Kluyveromyces lactis: one gene and its partners. The protein of the gene in region 2 purifies or fractionates together with the protein of the main gene of each other region. This does not show direct contact. Links are inferred from orthologs where the notes say so. Each region holds a gene or a part of one and is shown on either strand. Other genes may lie near its edges.

Region 1 (5,846 bases), on a different chromosome or scaffold from region 2:
AGTGTTAGTTTCAGCTTTCATTGGATCCGCAGAAACTTTTTCGTTTCTTGACCATGCTGTACATTTCTGTAAGGTGTTATCTTTACTCATCATCATCCAATTCCGATGGTTTCAATAACCCACCGATCTTGGAAGCTCTTTCTCTTTCAAGTTTATGTTGTTCCGCGAGAGCTTGTTCTTTGTCCTCTGCGAACAAATAATCGGTTGGATCTCCACCGAACTCCTTGATCTGGACCAAGAAATCTCTAATAGTACCAGTGAAATGCTTTGGATCATGATATTGTTTGAGTAGCGCTTGAATGAAGTTCATAACCTGTTCACCACTCAAATGAGGGAATGCATTGCTTAACATGGTTGCTAGATAGTTAGCCAAGTAAGCTTGATTAGAAGTGACTGCAGGAGCTTCATCTTCCTTGTATAATGGTACAGCTATTCTATTTTCTTCTACTCTGGCAATCAAATTCATTAAAAGATGAGCTTGCTTGCTGAATCCAGATTTGTGATCTGAATCAGTGAGGACATAGAAGGTTTCGCTAAGGAATGTGAAGTAATAGTTCTTGTAGAAATCGTTAGAGAATTCAGACGGACTAGCGGAATCAACGTTTTGAATAAGGTCTAAAGCAATTTGTAACCCATTTACCTCAACATCTCTGTTGTTGTGTTTGAACGCCCAACATATGGCATCAACGAAAAGTTTGAAAGCCGGTGGTGGTAGTTGAGATATCGCTACGAAACACTTGGAGTTGATGGCCCTCAATAATTTATAAAACTCCACACGATGTTCCGGATATTCCGTGAAATCTTTATTGATCATGTCTAATGTAGCTTCAAAGACACTCTGTAAAATCAAAATGACACCGCTGATCATCATAGGCCCAACTTTGTTGACAAGTGTGGTCATACAACTTAAAATCTCAGCGTCACGGGCATCTGGTACGGTAATGTAGTAATCCCGTAACACAGAGTCAAACAGTGCTGATGCCAAGTCATTTACGATGTAGTCTAAATCCTTTGCACTGGAAATGTATAATTCCATTAATTTTAGAATTTCTTTCTTGATTGTTCTTAAACCTCTTACCTTTGGAGTCTTAGTAGCAATAATCCCATCGCTGGCTACTTGTGTTGAAATACATCTAGACACAGCTGAGCACAATGACATCATTGGTGTGAAGTTACGACTCAACTGCGGAGCAAAGTCATTACCCATAGCGGAACAAACGGCAACGTTTGTCTTTAGAATATTGGTAACGATTTTCACAGTTTCAGGGTCCGACAAAATATCCAGATGAGTAGATGATTGCTGAATTATAGCGTCCCATGCCATGTTAGGGAGTTGCATCAAATCTGCTAGTAATCTTTGTTTTTCTCCTGGGTTTCTTTCATCAGAAATAATTAAACCGCAAGCCTTGTAAAATGTGTGTACTTGCTGAGGTTGAAGATCGGAGGTGTGGTCTTGAATGTTTCTAATTATTGCCTGGATGAAAGGTTCACTTTCGTTTGGCTGTTGAACGACAAAGTGACGTTTACATCTCTGTACAATCTTGATGAAGGTGTCACAGGCCATATCTTGAACACCCTCATGGGTTTCATGCATAAATTCAAATAGTTTTAGAATGACTGTCTTCAAGAACTTCCAATGAGCTTTTAAGAAACGTGGGTACTGACCGACAACGTACATAATGTTCGATGCAACAACAGCCTTGTTGTCCTTACCGCGCTTTTTATCAGTCAAGGCTAAAAGATCTTTAATGATTGTAACGACAAATTTTTTCTCAGTTTCCTCGTCCATAGTACCAGAAATAGAACCAATAGCCCAACACAATGTGTTGATGTTGTGCCATGACCATTCAGAGCCATCAAGTTGCTTTGCCAATTTATTCAACATGATGTCTTCAGTATCAAGAACATCTAAATGCGTCAAGTAAACAAGTACTTCCCTTTCGGACTTATATAACTGAATTGTGTCCGACTCCTTAACAAACTCTCTGACGATTTCACCTTCATCGTTTTCCACAATAAGAACTTCCTCTGGTCTAACCATCGATTCTATTATAACCCATCTTAACTGAGAACAGATGTTATCGTAAATGTGTTTCTTTAACGGGAACCTTTTCAAGAATTCCGGGTGAGGAGCACCATTGCTCCCTGAGAACATATTCGATCCTTGAGATAGTTTCAATAGGACGTTATTCTGATTTTGAGGGATTTGTTGCACCTCTTGGTACAAGGCCGAAACCAAATTATTCCAGTAGTCCAAAGTCGTTTTGAACAATTCTCTTTCGTCAATCTTCGAAAGTTCAATCAAATATTGATGCGCAGTAATTAATAGTTCCCTCAAGGATTCATCATCTTCTAATATTGAACGGTGTCTGGCCAAATAGGTAGTCAAGAACATGGCAAAATCTTGCAAAAATGATTGATCGTTGCCATTAGCAGTAGCATATGTGTTCTTCAAGTCAGCATTCACCGGTATAACGTTAACAGCAATTTGTTGCAAAGCATTTTGGAAAAACATTACAGTTAACGAAGCAATCTTTGGGTCATTTGCTGGAATATCAAGTTGAGAAACTTCAGTCAAACATTTCAAAGTAATAGCTCTGGTGTCAGCAGAGACTAAAAATTTCGTACTCAACAATTGCAAAATATCAGTGTTGTAGATGTAACGGTATGGGATCCAATGCAAGTATCTCAAAAGAGATTGCAAAGTGGCCACCATAAGGGATGGAGAAGATGCGGTTTCCAAAATTTCGTAACATAGATTGAAAATCTGTTCAAATTGTTGATCCATAGATTGTTTTAAATGTAGTGCTTTAGCTTGCGTCATTTGCTCTGCAGAGAAATCAAAGACTTCCTCACTTAATAACTTTAGCATTACCATGTTGTTTTCACATACGTTTACACTAGCTTGGGAACTGAGAACCAACTCCGGGATGAAGTCTGGCCAGTTTTCTGGCCAGTCCTGCTTAAGAATTTGAACCAAGGTTAAATCAGACTTATGAATCAAATTCTTCTGAGTTTGGAAAACCTGATCATCTTGACACATTGAAATAATCATTCCAACGATGAAATTACGAATTCCAAGTCTATGCTCCTGAGGTAACATCTTCCATTTCGTCGTAATTAACTTATCCAAAATGGAAAGCCCAATGAACTTCGTTTGCGGATTATTTGAATACTGCAAGATTTTATCAGCCCTTTGCCAAGCATCTGGATGGTCCTTCAATTTAGTAAGAACCTCTTGTGCCTCCTTTTGAGACGCACCAGAGCCCTTGAAAAAGGTATCCACCACTTGATCTAGGAGCTGGATGTCTAAGTCCCGAGAAAAGTCTAAAACAGCCTCCATATTGATTTAGAAAGAAGAACGTGTGTGTGGATCTCTTTTTACTATTTTCCTATGAGTACAGTGCAGTAGTATCCTTCTTATGAAAAGACCCTGATTAATTAAATGCAATGTCTTGTTCCTTTAGTCTGCTGTATAAATTCCACCAAGATTCGAATTCACAGCTGCAATTTCCGAAATAAATAATAAAGAAAGAAAAAAAAATACACCGGACTATAGTTTTCTTATTTAGCACTGAACAGTAACGGTTGAATCTAGTACGAACAAAAGTGACTCGATAGCACGCTGCCAGATCTAAAATTTATCTAACAAATACATGTTAACATTCTGTTTACTTTAGACCCCAAACCCTATCAATTGAAGGTTTTGGCTTTAGTAAAACTGCTTCTTTCGAAAAATCAATAATGGTAGGGTAACTAAATTCGTGCCTTGTGATGGCTTTAGGCGTGGCGCCCAAACATACACGTGATCTGAAATCTTTTCCTTTAGTTAATCAAAAAAGGTACTCTTCTGTGGGTATACAAGTCTATATATGTAACAAATGATGGAACATAAATTAAGATTAGGTACTCATTGATCTAAGATGATGATGAGGATGAGTCGGTTGTTCCTGGTTTGGTAGATGTGTCTTTGATCAGAGTTCGAGATGTATTTTCTTTTGAGCTACTTTCATCTTCTTCAAACCAGTGATTGTTGCGACGGCCTGGCGACCACATAAACTCTGATTCCTGGGTATTTAAAACAGGTGACTTAAACTCAAGCTCGAAATCTTCAGTGGATCCGTTTGGATAAGAGGATATTGGCACCATTATTTTAGGTAGTTGTATCTTGCCTCTACGGTTCAGTAAAAATTTCCATCTTGCGACAACCATTAGCATGGTATCGTAGTTTCTCTCGTTCCGGATCAGTTTATCAACTTTGTTCATGTCGTATAAATTTTTCACATAATCATCGATCCCAAGACATTCAGTCTTGTTATATGTAGTGTACAATGGAACTGTTTCCATCAGCTGATTGAACTGCACGGCGTTGTATCTCTTATTTCCCAGCTGAATTTCATGGACAAATCTGTTATAATCTAGTCGTCTGGCGTTCACTTTTTGATAGTCTATAGAGGAAAGTTCTTTGCTGAGTCCGAAGTGATCAATTTCAACATCATATGGATCGTTTGGGTTTACTTTCATGTATTTAGACACCAAACTCTTAACAGTAAGTCTTCCCTCCCAAATTTTAAACGAGAGGGGTCCATCAAACGAGTGCATGAATTTTGGTAAGTACGCGACATCAAATTGCCCTACACCATCAGGATCAATTTCCCTCCATGCCACTTTGAATTTCCTCACTTCTTCTTGGCTTGCTGGTGAGTGCTTATTTTCCTCTCTATGATAGACGTAGCTGAACTTTTCTACGATTAAGGAAACGAACATATTAACGAAAATGTACATGGAAATTATATTCCAGGACATTAGTAAAGCATACGCGAAAGCTTTTGAACCACAATCAGTATAGCTTCCATCAGCTTCAGAGTAACAAAATGGTTCTTCTATTGTCAAATCATTCATGATATAGTTCCAACCTTCACCGAAACTGCATCTAAACAATAAAATCAAAGATTTCGTCACCGTTCTACAATTAATGTTCCCCGTGGTATTAGGACCTAATTTTGTTACTCCAAATACTTGATTTAAGGCAATAGCATACACAAGGAACAAAATGAACCATGTATAAACCAATGAGAAAATAGATGGTAAACTCGCAGTAGCTGTGTTCATTAATTCATTCAAAGTATCATTCTGAGGAATCACTAAAAGGAAGATTCCCAACTGGAAAACATCACGCGCATTGGAAATACCCACCACGACATGATCGACAATGAGTTCATATATATTAGTTGCAAATGCAAACATCACAACGACACAACGAAATATATTCCAACGTTTTCTTGCATATAGCCGCATTGATTTCCCGTATATATGCATGACTTCTTGAATGAGTAAAAATGATGTGGTAACCATAAATTGAATATTTTGATTCGTTGGCAGTTTCCCATAAGGTTGATCCTTGGACATTAAAAGTGTTAAAATATGCAAATACAACATGAACTGCATCAAGACTGAGAAGTAGAAATTTCGCTTCTCCACTGCCCACAAGTAACAAATTCTCCTGACTGCATTCATCTTGAAAACGTTTGGCATCGGATCAGGGCACACTTGTGACAGCAATCTCTTTACTTCGAGCCATGATTTCTCTGCCAGAGTTAAATATGCCGTACCTTTCATTCTTGCATTGTTTCCTACAATAAATGAAACAAAGATATTCAAGATGAAAACCATGCTGAGGAAATTGAATAAAATCAAGAAGATTCCACTATATGGCGATGCAAATAACTCTGCGGGAGTTCCTACACCAGTGCTACTCATCATATTTTGCAATAAGTCTGTCCAACCTTCAAGAGATACAATTTCGTACATCGATCTAAAAGCACTTGAGAACGAATTGAGGTGCA
Region 2 (3,914 bases):
AGCATAACCGTGAAGAAGAGCAACAGTCCCTAGAGAACGGCTCGGAGCATGTCAAGTCTGAACAGGTGTTCAAGAAACCGAAATTACCTACTGAGTCAAAATCAGGTCACTATGAAGACGAGCATGAAACGCATGAAAACGGAGATCATGATGTTGATATCGACGCGGATGCAGAAGCTGAGGATGATGGTACTCTAGAAAGTGAGGTTGAGGACAATAATGAGGATGAAGAGGAAGAATTAGAACCCGAAATGGACGCAGTAGAAGAAGATAATGATGAGAAACAACAGACAGATACACCTGGCGTCGATTCTACCGATAATGGACTATCGCCCATGGAGAAGGAAAGGATAAGACAAGACGCTTTGGCAGAACTAACAAATATTGAAGTCGAATTTGCTCAATTGCGACAGAGTCTATATGAAAACAAGCTGAGCAAATTACAGAATGAGCTACAGATGTGTCTAGATGGATCACATCCTCAACTACAGACTTATTATCAGAAGATTGCTTCGATACGGGACTTTAAGCTAAAGAGAATGTACCAAAGGCAAAAGTATGAGCTGGAGTGCATAGATACCGAAACTAGGGCGACAAGAACGTTTATTCATCAAGATTTCTACAGAAAGGTCTCAGATTTGAAACATAAGTTATTAGGAAACACAACCCAGAAGTGGTATGACATCAATAAAGAGAGACGTGAAATGGACGTTGTTGTACCTGAAGTAAATTATCACGTTCCAATAAAAATTTCAAATAAATCTTTGAGTTGTATAACCGGATACGCAGCTCCTGCCAATCTGAGACGTCCAGGCGACTTGTTATCAGAAGATTTATTATGTGAAAATATCAATTTCAGATATCATAACAACCCTGTCGATAAGTTAGAAGTCATTGTAGACAGAATGAGGTTTAATAATGAATTGAGCGACTTAGATGGTATAAGGAAATTCTATGGAGGATTCCCAGGTGCTCCTGAACTTGGTGGTTTAAAAGATTCTGAAATTCATGAGGATCTTGCAGGAATACAGCATCAACAATAGGTCATATAATTTTTCACTAGGTGCTCCAAAAACCAGAAAACACGCTCTTATCAATAGTCAATAAAATGTCATCTTGATGAATCATCATTTAATTATCGTTTTGTTATGATGTGTAATCTTTACAAGTATAATATATGCATGACTGTGTATATGTATAGCACTTTTAACATTTCCACGATATGAAAGTGTATTCGAATTGACATCTGTGAATTCGAGAAACCTTGATATTTTAAAATATACAAAGATGTATGTTATATATGGAATAGAAGATATACTTCCTACTAATTAAACATTTGTTGGACGTTGGTAGAGATAAAAGCGTAAATAATAAAAAGATGAGAAAGAAACCCCAAAAATAGTAGTCCTTGTGAAGTGAGGAAAGGTTGTGATGAATTGGTCAGATTCCAATGTGAAGCGAAATATCTTTATTTTATTAAGACACCAGGATAGAAATAAAACTTATAATAAACCGTATCCAACCCGATGATATTTTTCTATAAGAAACAAAGGGATCGATATCATGATTTGATGTCCAAATTAAAAGGGCATTTGAGGATGACAACTGGATCAATTTTTAAGTTTTCTGGAATAATTCTGCGTATATCATTGATATAATCGCAGATTTAAAATTCGGTACCACATGATAATACGAGGGAATCTGGATACTATATCAATGCCCAAAACTTCTTAAGTGTCCGAACTTCAAAAAAAAAACAGAGAAGCGTATTTTGTCAAGGGGAAATTTTTTCTTGGAGTTCTTGCAATAGTTCTTATCAATAAAGTAGTTTATCTCAATGGGATGAAACGAGAGGTGGTGGCACCAGCTCTACCATGTCTAACTGGAGTGTAGGTGATAGAGAATTCACCCAAGTAGTGACCGACCATTTCAGGTCTGATTTCGACTTGGTTGAAGACCTTACCGTTGTAAACACCAACAACAGAACCAATCATTTCTGGAACGATGATCATGTTTCTCAAGTGAGTTCTGACAACAGCTGGCTTTTCATTTTCTGGAGCAGACAATTTAGCAGCTCTCAACTTCTTCATCAAACCAGCTGGCTTTTCAGACAAACCACGAGCGAACTTTCTTCTAACTCTGGCTGGGGCCAACTTAACGAAGTCTTCAGTTGGCATTTCCAACAACTTTTCTAGGTCAACACCCTTGTAAGAGTAGGTCTTGAAGGATCTCTTTCTTGGAGCAGCGGCTTCAGACATGTTGGCTTGCTTTCTTATTGTATGGTTCGGTGAGTTAAGCTAAACAACAAAAAGGAAAAGGAAAATTAAACCAAGCTCTATTGAAACCTTCTATTATAAAAAGAATACGTGAAATGAATTGCAATATCAACTAAAATCTCTATGTGAAATCAACAAAAGCTGTAACTATCAAAAAAAGCATTAAATTCAAACTGAGATTGTTCGTATTGGTGAAAAAGGTCGATATCCTCAAACTTCGCAATGATTCTGAAAAGTTCACCAAAAAAATCATTCAATGGTAGGACCCATACTAGGGAACCAAGCTGTTCGCAGAGACAATAGCGGAGGAGAAGATGGGCCCTATTCCCAGCTGGAAGCATGGGTTGGACGGGGGAGACGGTAAGGTTAGGCAGGAAGCTTTGCTACCGGTAGGCAGGCCAGTAAGCTTGCACTCCGTGTACCCAACAGGGTGGAGAACAGGGAGGGAGTGGAACCGGAGCGTAGGAGGAAATTGGCGAGTCTGCCTACAGATTGTAAGTTCGGTGCGAAAAAATTAGTAAGTGGTGAGACTCAAAATGAAAATAAGGGACTGTTACCACAATACACCACATATAAAAATGCGTTTAAATCCTATTACTATATGTACACCGCACTTTGTTGTTTTCTTACCATCCATATCTTTTAAGTTTTTCGTCCGAAAAAGGAAAACATCTAGGCGACCAATTCCACTGATTTTCTTTAGCACTGGAAAATCGAGGAATCTGGTTCCCAATCTGCAATTCGATGGAATCAGTGCGAGAGTTAGTACTCTCACAGTGGAAAGCTTCAACGCTTTCCAATGGCGCCCGGTAATTCTCTCTACCTTGACGAATCTTCAACATTTTTGTCAATTGATTAGAGGTTTACAATACACGTTTAAGGTTTAAGTGCCTTTATATTTTAATTGTTAAAGGCATAATACTGTTTAATTCTTGGTATAGTTCACGTAATTCTCCCCAGAAACCTCGACAAATATTGAACGCTTAAAGATGAAGTACTTGGCCGCTTACTTGTTATTAAACGCCGCTGGCAACACCCCATCCTCTGACAATGTCAAGGCTGTTTTAGAATCCGTTGGAATCGAAGTTGAAGAAGAAAAGGTTTCTTCTTTGTTGTCCGCTTTGGAAGGTAAGTCTGTTGAAGAACTTATCGCTGAAGGTACCGAAAAGTTGGCCTCTGTCCCAGCTTCTTCTGGTGCTGCTGCCTCTGGTGCTGCTGCTTCCGGTGCTTCCGAAGCTGCTGCTGAAGAAGCTCCAGAATCCGAAAAGGAAGAATCTGATGACGACATGGGTTTCGGTCTATTCGATTAAACAAATCAATTTTAAAGGGACTTACACAATAATGAACAAGAACTTTTGATATCCTGAAATTTTTGCAAGGCTAAACCAGCAATAACTTTCACATAATGGATGTTATGGTTGTTCTAATTTTTCTATCTATTCTTTTATTATTCTACGTTTAACGTTTCAAACCTCATACAAACCGTTCCTCACACACGCTCAGCATTTGCATTCAACGGGAACAGAATAAATCAAAAGGTGGGAATTCTTTGCATTTTTTTGTAAGGATACCTATGTACTATCCATTGCCCATTATCAATGCTTACTATTCATGTACAACTACATCAAACCAGTATAC
Region 3 (5,106 bases), on a different chromosome or scaffold from region 2:
CCCCGAGATTATATCAATGTCAGACTGTTTGGATTCATCAATCACATATACCCAATTTTCCATGGCCGTTAATGATGTTGCCCCTAATCTTTTAAATCCCTTGAAAATGCTAATGGAACATGTTCTTTATATGGATAGAGATCTCGTAGACGCGGACGTTCTTCAACCAATCTCAAATCCTACTAAAATTGTAAATGAATCTGAGCTATCGCAGTTAGCAACTTTTTTACCGAAGGAGATTGTTTTCTCCAGGTTCCAGAAATTATATGTTGGAAGGGAATCGGGCTTTTCTATGAGATCTTTCCAATCTAAGGTCTTCAAGTGGATGGCACCTACGATATTATTCGTAGAGGGTATGAGAATTCGTGACGAGGACGATGAAGATGGCGATGCTTATGCCGTGAAAAATCCAAGGTATAGAAACTTTCTGCAAGAATATGGTAAGTTAAAAAGTGAAGATCAACATTTGGATACGTTAAGTAAGAAAAAACGAAAATTGTTATTTGCTGTTTGTATTCGCGACCCATGGAAAGTATCAAATAAAGATTTGTTTGGTGATTCGTCTACAAAAATTATCCAACTTCATCCAAGACAAGAGATCTTCGATGCGGACCCATTCAAGACAGGAAACGTATATTTCAACACTGTTGGGGGAGGTATAGGTATTGGTAGCTCTCAACCTATCATCAAAGCTAACGGTAAAAAATACTTCCCAGGAAATGTTTCACTTACTATTGATTCATCTCTCGAGTTCGGTATATTTAGACATTTGGGAGCAGGTGGGAGTTTTAAGCCTGGCCGTCTAATAAGTGGACGTGGAGAAGAACGGAATTCGTTCGAATACCGATTCATAATCCAAGATGTAGAAGTGTGGGGATGCGGAGGAGAAAAAGAGCTCGAAGAGCAAGTAAAGCAATGGCAATGGGAAGAGGCCGAAGCCAAAAGAAGGCAAAAGATCAACTTACAAAGCATGGGAGAAGATCGTGCATTATTGGAAATGGCAGGTCTTGTAGGGCAACATCAAAGCGGTGGATCTATTTAAAATCGCTAAGTAAATATTAAATATTTGAAATTGCATAGAATTTTTAAATTGATCATTTCTTGCTTTTCGTCTTGTTAATGAGCTTTTTCTTAACGTGTTTTTTTACTTTGGTCTTCCTCTTTTCACGTTTGGCCTCTTTTGTTTCTTGCTTACGTTGTTTTTTAGCATCTTTATCTTCGTACTTTTTTCCTTTCAGTGGAGTGTCTTTATCGGAGACCCATCCATCACCATCAGAACTATCGTTAGTTTCATCACTATCATCATCTTCATCTGATCCAGCTATGTCATCTTCATTGATATCCGTTACGAGGTTAGGGAGATCATCACCATCTACGTCATCTTCCTCGTCATCAGAAGAAGAGAGTTCATATTGCTCCGATGCTGTGAAATTTTCGGAATATTTCCTGTTTTCATTAGCAATTAATGATTTCAGTAGGTCAAATTTACCATCAGTGAATCTATCAAAATCTCTTTCCTCTAAACCACCCAAATTTCTTATCAAATGTAAAGATCTGAACACTTCATCTTCAGCTTCGTCTTCATCAGTCAACTTTAGAGGTAAATTGTCGGCAACATATGTTTCTAGATCATCGCTTGATCTGTAATCACCCTTGAATTTGTCTAAGACCTCACTGATGATGAACTGGAAGATCACCCGTTCAGGGAAAATGTCAATTCCCAATTTTTGGAAATATGAGTTAACATTCTTAATATCCATTCTTAGGAAATCTAGAGACATAGGATGTTCTGGTTGTACGGATTGCGAAACATCAATAATATAAAGCTTATCCTCATGTACAATACTATTATACTCACTCAAGTCTGCATGAACTAAGCGACATACCTGATATAACAGTCTCATGTACGCTATCATTAAATTGTAGTAATGTTTAATTTCTTCTCTATCTTTGTAAGGATGATCTTTAAGCCTCGGAGATGCGAAACCATCTCCTCTATTTAAAAATTCCATGACTAAAACGTTTGATCTAACTTCTATTGGTTTTGGACAAGGTATGACACCGCTTTGGTATATTCTCTTCAAGTTTCTAAATTCCTTTTCAGCCCAAATTTTGATCATCTTACGAGGATTATGTTGAGATCTCGAATTTCTGAATCTAAATTCACCATCAACGTATCTTTCACGATCCTTAAAAACCAAGATAGATGTCTTGTAAATCTTCACCGCGTATTCCTTCTTATTTTTTGGTTCATCAGTGGCAGTTGAAGTGGATGTGGCATCCTCAGATTCGGCAGTTAGAGCTTTTTGTTTTGTTGATTCAATATTTTGTGGGGCTCCTATTGTATCATCATGTCCCTCTACCAGCAGATGTCTCTCCTCATGATTACCAGCAAACGCATGGTACACGTTTGCTTCTTTACCTGTACTCAAACAACCATTAAATGCTGATAATATTCCCCTGTTCATCATGGATTTCAAAAACCTCATCGTACGTGGGTCTAAAACATTCTCTACAGTGGCCCTATTCGCCTTATCTTTGCTGGTTTTACCCCTAGTTAATGATAACTCATCTGTTTTGATGCTATTGGCATACCTCTCTAGGATCTGAGTGTTGACATGCTCATCACGGTTGGCTAAATTCAGTTTTTCCAGCTTATCGTCAATATTCATCATTCGTAGTCCAACTATAGATAACTTCTGCTTTCTGATTTACTAATTTGACAATACACAGGAGCTGAACGGCGTATATTGTTCTGTAAATAACCACTATTCCAACCTCATCGCTCATCTTGTACACCATTAAAGTAAAGTAGCGTACTTTTTTTTTTCCTACGTTTTTTTTTCACGATGCTCTAGACAGGATCGCGAATTGCTTTTCAATAGAGGAAATAGTTGTAAACATTCTAAAACGCTCAGTAGATGAATTGAAAGGTCTACCTGTGTAAGTGGAAGAAACCAACTTGCTTTAACGTCAGGGTTTGTCCTTATTATACTCCTATGCAGCAGCAATCAAATATGGTTCATTTGCCACAAGTATGTTTCTTTTGGGTATTTAACCGCAGTTGAAAGACGTTTTTACATGATCGTTTGATGCATGGTTTTTTTTTGATACCAGTAATATGTACTAACAGATGACATTGCCCTTTAGACATTCCTGTCTTATCCCTTGTACATAGGTGTTGAGGTTGCACTTGGTGTGCTAACCTTCAACAAATTCAGCGGGATGTATGGTGTTCTTGCACTTTTCACTGGACACCCGTTAGACTTTGTGCAATGGACTTTTTACATCTGGTCAATTTTCTGTCTAGTGGTATTCATTTCAGGAATAAGACAAGTTTATAAGCCCAATATCCTCTTAATGTCCACGGTTACTTTTGTGTTCAGTGTGGACACAATTGTTAGTTGCATTTACTGCTTATGGTTCACTGCTGTGTGGTTCAGCCAGGAGGGCTCCACTGACGTTACGGACTTGAAGAGCGCGGGAACCGCACTTGGACCAGCTCATGAGGGAACCACATCCACGATCTCAACTAAAGTAGATACTTCTAAGAGTGCTTCTAGCGGCTATGAATTTTTCCTCATCATATTGCTAACTTTAGTTCCACTAGCAGTCAGATTCTATTTCAATTTCATCATAATTGCATTCCAACAACAACTATTGCGCAGTGGGAAGTTCACATTCGATCAGAACGATATAGAAGTCAATCTACACAACAGAAACATTTTGTTTAAATGGAGATACAAATTCGAAAAATGGTGTTTCTACCTATGCAAGAGATACTTATAGCCCGGTACCCTTTAAACACATCATTATATAGATACGGACTAATATTATCATATAGCTAACATTGCATCATTGTCTTTTCAAAAAGTGGTCCAAGTGGGGTTCGAACACGGAATTAATTCCTAATCAGAGAGCAATTTTTTGATAAGATGCACCATCCTATTGAGAGATCAGTAAGAGTGACTCATAAAAAAAAGCGAACACAAGACCATCAATTGGCACTGGATATGACACACAATGCGTGATCACTCTTGACAGGGTACCTCTTTATACAATGAAGCTTGCATCGCTCATTGTTCCTGGTTTTCACCTCTGATTCATATCTTCAGGACTCTATTGTATTGTTCTTTCTCACTCATTATGTGCATCTATGCCGTTAGCTGTTTTTTTCTTTATATATACTGCAATGTGAAGTATTTCCATTTAGGAAGTTTCTTCAAAAATCTCATCGCTAACCATATCACTTAACGGTAAGTTGATCTGAATAGATAATAAAGGGCACTGCAGTGTTAGTTACTAGACTTTGGAATCTGCTTAGTATCCTGCATCCTGTACGCTACATTAGATAATCAAATTGAACCGGTCGAAAAGGCTTCCTTCCATACTTTAACCCAATAATGAGAGTTATCCGTCAATTACACACTTCTAAAAGATTGTTGCAATCTTTAGTCGATAAACAAAAATACCAGGCAACCACTTATGCCAGACCTAATCATTTGGTTCTGACTAGAGGTAAGAACGCCATTCTTTATGATGATGTTAACAATAAAGAATATATTGATTTCACTGCTGGTATCGCAGTAACTGCTTTGGGACATGCCAATCCGGAAGTGGCTGAGATCATGTACAAACAAAGTAAGAAACTGATCCATTCTTCTAACTTGTACTATAATGAGGAATGTCTGAAGTTGAGTGAAAATCTAGTGGAAGCTACTAAATCGTTTGGTGGTCAATACGATGCATCCAGAGTTTTTCTATGTAATTCCGGTACCGAAGCCAACGAAGCTGCATTGAAATTCGCCAAGAGATACGGTATCCTAAAAAGCCCATCGAAGCAAGGTATAATTGCGTTCCAAAACTCTTTTCATGGTCGTACCATGGGTGCTTTGTCTGTTACCAGTAATCCAAAATATCGTGAACCATTTGGTTCTTTGATTCCCGGAGTGGAATTTTTAAATATTAACGATGAGCTGACCAAATTGGATCAACAAGTTTCTAGCTTGAAAGAAAAGACTGCTGGGTTGATTGTGGAACCAATTCAAGGTGAAGGTGGTGTGTTCCCAATCCCATTGGACACTTTAGTTGGATTAAAGAAAATTT

What was found.
Region 1: the proteins of RPS15 (region 2) and CRM1 purify together in Saccharomyces cerevisiae (affinity purification with mass spectrometry; 3 studies listed by BioGRID). This does not show direct contact. The link is inferred for Kluyveromyces lactis from reciprocal best matches to the Saccharomyces cerevisiae genes RPS15 and CRM1.
Region 3: the proteins of RPS15 (region 2) and RIO1 purify together in Saccharomyces cerevisiae (affinity purification with mass spectrometry; 3 studies listed by BioGRID). This does not show direct contact. The link is inferred for Kluyveromyces lactis from reciprocal best matches to the Saccharomyces cerevisiae genes RPS15 and RIO1.

The regions. Positions count from the first base shown.
Region 1 is NC_006041.1:1,428,649-1,434,494, forward strand, and holds CRM1 (exportin CRM1), read right to left. Parts: upstream 3,344-5,846; coding exon 83-3,343; downstream 1-82. Other genes in the region: calcium channel protein CCH1, read right to left, coding at 3,919-5,846. UniProt on the Saccharomyces cerevisiae protein: Receptor for the leucine-rich nuclear export signal (NES).
Region 2 is NC_006042.1:737,832-741,745, forward strand, and holds RPS15 (40S ribosomal protein uS19), read right to left. Parts: upstream 2,259-3,914; coding exon 1,830-2,258; downstream 1-1,829. Other genes in the region: Rpd3L histone deacetylase complex subunit DEP1, read left to right, coding at 1-1,043; RPP2A (ribosomal protein P2 alpha), read left to right, coding at 3,266-3,586. UniProt on the Saccharomyces cerevisiae protein: Component of the ribosome, a large ribonucleoprotein complex responsible for the synthesis of proteins in the cell.
Region 3 is NC_006041.1:1,884,021-1,889,126, reverse strand, and holds RIO1 (protein kinase RIO1), read right to left. Parts: upstream 2,676-5,106; coding exon 1,095-2,675; downstream 1-1,094. Other genes in the region: RTC5 (Rtc5p), read left to right, coding at 1-1,042; KEI1 (Kei1p), read left to right, coding at 3,000-3,035, 3,151-3,789; ARG8 (acetylornithine transaminase), read left to right, coding at 4,404-5,106. UniProt on the Saccharomyces cerevisiae protein: Required for the final endonucleolytic cleavage at site D converting 20S pre-rRNA into the mature 18S rRNA. Required for the final steps of cytoplasmic maturation of the 40S ribosomal subunit.